2 linked regions of the Coturnix japonica genome follow. The protein of the gene in region 2 interacts with the protein of the main gene of each other region in a biochemical or structural test. Links are inferred from orthologs where the notes say so. Each region holds a gene or a part of one and is shown on either strand. Other genes may lie near its edges.

Evidence for each region.
Region 1: the proteins of SNTA1 (region 2) and CYSLTR2 interact in a test that uses a peptide from one of them, tested with the Homo sapiens proteins (2 studies listed by IntAct, with this or other methods). The link is inferred for Coturnix japonica from reciprocal best matches to the Homo sapiens genes SNTA1 and CYSLTR2.

The regions. Positions count from the first base shown.
Region 1 is NC_029516.1:151,149,524-151,153,172, forward strand, and holds part of CYSLTR2 (cysteinyl leukotriene receptor 2), read left to right. Parts: intron 1-2,542; 5' UTR 2,543-2,569; coding exon 2,570-3,511; 3' UTR 3,512-3,649. UniProt on the Homo sapiens protein: Receptor for cysteinyl leukotrienes. The response is mediated via a G-protein that activates a phosphatidylinositol-calcium second messenger system.
Region 2 is NC_029535.1:2,063,735-2,067,408, forward strand, and holds the start of SNTA1 (alpha-1-syntrophin), read left to right. Parts: upstream 1-749; 5' UTR 750-1,480; coding exon 1,481-1,742; intron 1,743-3,444; coding exon 3,445-3,630; intron 3,631-3,674. UniProt on the Homo sapiens protein: Adapter protein that binds to and probably organizes the subcellular localization of a variety of membrane proteins. May link various receptors to the actin cytoskeleton and the extracellular matrix via the dystrophin glycoprotein complex.

The DNA.
Region 1 (3,649 bases), on a different chromosome or scaffold from region 2:
CTTGAAATTCCCTACCATTACTACCTGCTTTCAGCTTTTCTAACATTTTCCTATGACTATCATTATCATGGTGAGGAGTTTGGTAGCATAACCTTAGTACTAAATTTTTTCATTATGAGAAGATGGAATGACTGTCCACAAGGACTTTCAGTCATAATATTTGTATGCAATTGCTAGTTACACAGTCCTTCCTGCACAGTGCCACTCCTTCACCTGTATATCCTACACTATCACTACTATCAAGCCAGCAGCATGGCACAGAGGCTCCCACTGATATACTTTACACAGCAGTTATTTCAGGAAAGCCACCCTTTCCTTTGCTCTGCAGATGTGCTCTCTCTCTTGCCCTAATAGCAACGCACCATCAAAAGTCTCTTCTCTTTGAAGTACATCAATCTGTGATGACTCCCTGTAAAACAGGGGGGCCAACTTCCATTAGAAGAAGAGATGTTTCCTGATCCCACACAGAAAACTTTGATGTCAGACAGTAACTTTGTACTGGGTACTAAAACTAGGTTGGATTGAGCCTTGAGAAGAGCCTGACCTGGTGGGTGGCAACCCTGCCCATGGCAAGGGGCTTGCAATTAGGTGATTTATTAGGTCCCTTCCAAGCCAAGCCATTTGTGATTCTATGATTCTATGAGATCTCCTTGGACTGCAATTGTTTTGTTGGGAAGCTTACGTTGCCTATCCTCTACACTGGCGAAGAGACTTTCAAATAAGGAGGAGATTTTCTTTAGGGGGGAACGAGTGTTCAGTTTGCCAAGTTCCAGTCTTCAGCACTCCTACACTTTATAGACATTATTGTCCTTGTTTCTTGGAGGGATGGTTTCAAGCCCTGCAGGGATGGTCACATTATTGTTGTTAGTGAAAGCCCCTGTTCCCCAAGCCCAAACTGCCGCATTCCCATCCTGCTACAGGGGATAAGCTCTGCTTCTTAGGAGCCCAGCCTGGGCAGGCTCCATTTCCCATGCTCTGTTTGGCCACAAAAAATAACTTCTGGGGCACATCTGGTTGCTGTATTAAGGGATCTGTACTCCGACACAGAGCCCTGAAGAGGTCACTGGCTGCCCTCAACATAGAGCAGCTCTTGTACCACAGAAAAGTATCTGAGTGCACAAATTAATTTCCATTTACAGCAGTGTTGCCAGTGCTATAGTGTGTAAGTGGTAGTCCAAGGTGCCCAAGCTTTCCCCGTAGTGAAATTCCAAGAACACAAATAACTTTATTCAAAATTATGAAGCCTGTGAGGTCCAAAAAAAAAGACATAACCTGCAAGCATATACCACTAGGCCCTTATCTTTCTCACTGGGATGTATTAAAACTTTTTTCATGCACTTGGAAATTTCATATTGTTCTGCTTTTTAGGCTAAATTTTTTCAGTGCGTTTCTGGGATGTGCTGGCAGTTGCAGAGAGGGCATTTCTGTCCCATTGTTAAACAAGTAGCAGAACCAGAGACCTCCCTTTAGGAGTTGGACTTGATTACATTTACAGATCCCTTCAATTTCAGGGTATTCTATAATTCTATGATTTTAAAATACTACTACTTACAGATCATCAGAGAGAAAAAAATCAGGAGTTTAGCAAGTACATTAAAAAGAAAAAAAAAATGTGTATACTATTTAGAGTGTTTTATTGACCGGTTGTTTTGATTTGATTGAAATATAGCCTTGTGGGAGTGAAAATATCACTTTCTATGGAAATAGCCTGTTTTCCACAGGCCATTTTTATTAGGGCTGCTAATTCAGGCTGCCATATAGATGAATGTCTGATGAAAGAAATGAGCACACAAAAGGCTGGAAAAGTAGTGAATGAAGAAAAGACCCCACAAATAGAGACCTAGGAAACTAACTAGAGGAAAGAAGAAATACAGTATGAGGGGGAGGGAGTTAAAAAAGAACCTTGAATGAGAACAGTATTTATAGTGTTTCAGATCAAAACATCATTAATTTATACACATTGAAGTACATCAGTGTGTTCTTGCTATCACTCAGGCATATTGAGTGACGTGCTGTCAACAGCAGATATCGTTCTAGGAAGATTAGGCTGGTTCATATTGGCAAATACAGTTACTTTGACTTTCCATCCTAATTTGAAGCTCAGACTTACTGGTGGATGATGACTTCTTTTACTGATCAGTTTTTGAAGGTTCCATGGGTGGTATCCAGGAACTCATAACCTCCTGCTGCAAAATGGCCAATGTCAAGTTGGCTTATTTTGCTTTGAGAAGGCCGGGGAATTGCCATTAAAATGAATGCATAACATCCACTTCTAAAAGACAGTTCTCTCATAATTTGAGACAAAAACAAAAAACAAACAAAAAACAAATAACAAAAAAAAAAACAACAAACCAGCTGCTGTAATACTGAAACCATTTAGAGCTGGTGTGTTCATTTACAGAGACATCACAGTGATTAGTCATTCAGGAAGCTTTAATTTCCAACGTGTCTTCTCATTTCTGCCATGTGAAACAGTCCTAGCACTGATCTCCCTGAAGAGGCTGCAGCTCTGCACTCACTTTACTTCTTTATACTTTTGCAGAAAGGCAGAGAGCTCCCACTCCAGACAATGAATTTTTCTGAGATGACGCTAAATGACAGCTCCACTAACAGCTCATTCACCTGTAGCACGGATGCCTTCAAGCAAGTCATTTATCCCATTGCGTACCTCTTAATCTTCTTCCTGGGCAGTGTTGGAAATAGCCTCTCCATATATGTTTTCCTCCAGCCTTCCCAGAGGAAGACCTCAGTAAACATCTACATGCAGAACTTGGCAGTTTCGGATCTCATGTTTGTGAGCACTTTGCCCTTCCGGGCCACCTATTATCTGTTAGGATCACAGTGGGTGTTTGGTGATATCCTCTGCAGGATCATGACGTACACCATGTATGTGAACATGTACTGCAGCATTTATTTTCTCACCGTGCTCAGTGTGGTTCGTTTCATGGCCATCGTCTACCCATTCAAGAGCTGGAAAGTAAGTAACATGAAGTATGCCAAGATAATGTGTGCAGTGATATGGGTCTTCGTTCTGGCAGCCTCCAGTCCTCTGCTGAGCAAAGTAATTGCCGGGTACAAAAACCCAGCCAAGTGCTTGGACCTCCACCCCAGCAGCACGCACAGGCTCCTCATGATGAACAGCTTTGTCCTTGCTGTGGGCTTCATCTTGCCTTTTTGCACAATTATCATCTGCTACATCTTTGCCATCAGAGCGCTGCTCAAGTCCAAGACACCCCAGCGCAAGAAGGCAGTCTGTCACAAGAAAGCACTGTCAACCATCATCATCACTCTCATCCTCTTCTTTCTGTGTTTCCTTCCGTACCACGTACTGCGGACAGTCTACCTAGTGCTCGGTGGCTGCAGCCCAGCCAATCTGTTCGTGCACAAAGCACAGGTGGTCTCACTCTGCCTTGCTGCCACCAACAGCTGCCTGGACCCTGTGCTATATTACTTTGCAGCTGAAAATTTCAAAGCAAGAATCAGAAGTTTATACCGAAGGATGCTTGTGTAGAATTGCAGTATTACGTTCCTGCACTCCTGCCAAGACATCTAGACTGCATCCATACTACGTGATGAATGAATGTGCTGCTGACCATACTGCACTGTGCCAGGCATCTTGGGAAGAAAAGTGTTTGGGATAAAGTTCAGT
Region 2 (3,674 bases):
TATCACCATCCCACGGGCACTGCAGCACCTCTGTGCCATGATGTGGGGCTGCACACATGGCCTTGCTGCCCAGCAGTGTGGCATGGCACAAGGTTTCCCCCTGTGTGGCACTGCTCTGCTTCCCACTGCTGCTTTGCATAGTGCTGCCAGGGCTGGGGAAGCAAACATATCACATATCCCTGGATGGTGCCATCCTGTGGCACTGGGAGCAGTGTCTCTGCTTTCTGACGTGGCTTACAATGAGAATACAGCCTTAATAATCACCTGTGCTGGAAATAGCATTGGAAAGAAAAAAGACTGCGAGTGGCAAGGGGCAAAGTGACCCCAACTGGCAGCAAAAGGACTGAACCCCCTCTGCTATGGGCACAGCAGCTCAGGGTCTGTGGGATGCACAGAGGACTGGGGGGGGGGAGGGGGGGGTGTGATGGGCGTGGGAGCATCACTGTTAGGCAAACCCAAAAAGTCACTCCAATCGAACTGCAGAATTTGGATTGAAAACTGGAATATCTGAGCTGTGCTTTGCAAGGGAAAAACCTTCAGGGTTTCCTCTGCCGCAATCTCAAGAAATTCCACAGCTGCCTCTGCGTGGGGGGAGCGCTGCTGCCTCCGTGTGGGGGTGGGGAGGGCTGCAGCCCCCTGCTCTGCAATACCCCCCCCACCTCCCCTTGTGCGTGAACGGGATTCAATTCCTTTAAGGCTGCGTTTGCAGAGCCTGGGGCTTGGGGACCTGCAGCCCCACCCCAGGGCTCTGGAGCTGCCCGAAGGGGCACAGGGGATGTACCCAGAGGTATTTTTTATCCCTCATTGCTGCCACTCGGTTGCAGGAGGAAATGCGGATCTGCCAAAGGAAACAAACACCGTTCCTGTTTTCAAGAAGCAGGACAGGGAAAGGAAAGAAAAAAAGCAAGACTGTTCTGAATGCCTCCAAAAATCCTCCCTGCTGCTGTCTGCACCCATCTTTGGGGCACCGACGTCGTCGGACGCCAGTGGGAGAGCTCTTGAGGCTGCCCCCCACCGCCCCCAAGAGCTGCCATTGCTTTTCATCATCGCAGTTTTCCTTAATAAGTCCAGAGTTCGCTTCGAGTCACTTCTGGCTCTGCCTGACAGCGCTGCTCGCTTCCACGACAGCAGTTACTCGTGTACCCCGCAGCACGCCCGAAGCTTTCGTGGCACCCGGTTCTCGGCACGGACACCGCTGCGCCCCGACGTGCCCCGCAGGGTCCCCCTGTGACACAACCGCACCGCGGTGCCCGGAGCCGGGAGGGTCCGAGTGAGGGTGTGCAGAGCTCCCCATGCCCCTCCCGGCGCTCCCCGTCCCATACTCGGGCACGGAGCCCCGCAGCGCGGCGCTGCCCCGACGGGGCGGGCGTGGGCCGGGCCGGGGGCGGTGCGCGGGGCTCGTTGCTCCGCCGGGCGGTGCGCGGGGCAGCGCGGAGCGGAGCTGCCGGAGCGGCGGGGCCGGGCCCGGCATGCGCGGAAGATGGCGGCGGGCAGGCGAGGGGCGCGCAGCGGGCTGCTGGAGCTGCGCGGTCCCGGCGGACAGTGGCTTCGCGTCCTGCTCACCCTGAGCGATGACACCCTGAGCGTCAGCCCCGCCGACGGCCCCGGGCCCGGGGAGCCTCCGCCGGCTCAGCTGAACGGAGGGGAGCAGAGCTCCGGCGTGCCCGAGGCGCTCGCCAACATCAGGCGCACGGTGCGCGTCGTCAAACAGGACGTGGGGGGGCTCGGCATCAGCATCAAAGGTGAGGGGGGGGGAGTACCAGGAGTGGGCGGCGGCGGCGGCAGGTAGGACCTACGCTGCCCTGCTGCGACCGGAGGGCTCCGCCCGCGTGTCCTTGCGTCCTGCGTGACCCCGGTGCGGTGTCCCCTCCTGGCCGCCCCAAACGCAGCGCTCTGCCCCGGTCGGGTGTCCCCCGGTGTCCCCCGCCGCCCCCACCCCCGTCCTGGGGACTTTGCGGGAACTTCGGGCCGGGAACTTCGCGAGGGGGGGTGCGGGGGGCTGCCGCTGTCTGACGTGGCCGCATTGGGCTCAGCCTTCACCGCGCTCCTTGCCGGGCGCTGCTGGGTGGGGCGGTGTGTCGGGTGCGGGTCCCCGTGAGGGGTCCGGGGTGAGCCCTCACCGCTTGTTGGGGCTGTGGGTGCTGCAGCTCGGCAGCGCTTTTGGGAGGTGCAATCCCCCCTTGTAACCAACCCCGGGCTGCGAAGCGCTGCCGGCTCTGCGGCTCTCCCAGGAAAGGAGAAACGTTACTTGCTTCAGCTAAACTTTATTTTTGCAGTGACGTAGGTGGAAACCAAGGAGCCGTGATCCAAACGGGGAGCTGCAGGCGGGCGGGCAGCACTTGGGCTGCCTTGTGCCTCTGCTGCTTTGCAGGGGGGTGACCATGTGCCATTAAACGCAGCCAAACCTTGCTGTCCCTGCAGGGGGTGGGGGCATGGAGGGACGGGTACCCCGCTGCCAGCCAGCTCCTGTCCATGGCCCGTGGGACAGAATCTAAAATGGACCTTCTGGTTAAAGCATTTCAGCTGCATCCTAACCCCAGACAGTACTTCACTTGGGGTTTCTGGTGCTTCATGCAGCCCTGCAGGGTTAGGGTTAGCATCGTTAGGGTTAGGGTTAGGATCCTTCTCCTGCAGGGTCGTGTACCGCATGGTGCTCCGGGCGGTGGTTCCCTCTCCACGCACACAGCCCAGAATGGGTGGTTGCGAGGCGTTGCTTCCAAGCTGGGCTCGGCAGCCAGCAGCAGCCCCCGCGGGGGCCTCTTGACAGCTGATAGCCGGAGGAGCCCTCAGCTCCCGGAGAGGCTCTGCAGAAATCCGAGCGGAGCAATGCTGGCGGCACAGCGGGTGCAGCCCTGGGAGGTGTCACGCTGCCGGTCCCTGCCCGTGGGAGGGGGGTAGGGGGGAGTGAGGGGGTGCCCGGCACACGCTGTCCCAGCGCTGAGCGTGGGCAGCGCCAGGCGGGGCTGCTGGCATCTCCTACAGGTTCAGAACTTAAAGTGCAAATTGATCTCCTTGAGCTGCCCGGAGGCCTTGAGAGTGTCCTGGTGGGCTGAAGAGTGGGGAGCAGCCCGAATGGAGACAGAGAGGAGTGGGGAGCAGGTAGTCCTGCGGCTGAGCTGCTGCTCTGGGGCTCTTTTGCCTCTCCAGCACTCAGCTGCTGCCCCACTGAGACCGTGGGGTCCTGAGAGCAGGGAAGGCTGCTCAGCACACACAGTTAATAATGCAAATAGTGACACAGTTTCCTGCCAGAAGTGATGGGGAGGCGGTCAGGGCGTGTGTTTGTTCAGCAAGGAAATCTGCAGCCACTCGGATGGTTTTTTGAAGCACTTAACATGTGTCTGCCATAAAGCTCTGAGGTATTTGGGCACTGTGTGGGCACTGAGCAGCCCTGTGCCCCTAATTGCTCAGTGTCCCCTCACTGCTTGGTGCCCCTTCTGCCCGCAGGTGGCCGGGAGAACAAGATGCCCATCCTCATCTCCAAGATCTTCAAGGGACTGGCAGCAGACCAGACCGAGGCACTGTATGTGGGAGATGCCATCCTGTCCGTGAATGGCACTGACTTATCCGAAGCCACTCACGACGAGGCGGTGCAGGCACTGAAGAAAACGGGCAAAGAGGTGGTGCTGGAAGGTATGGGGGCAGCGGGGTGCCCTGCTTATGTACACCCTGTGGGT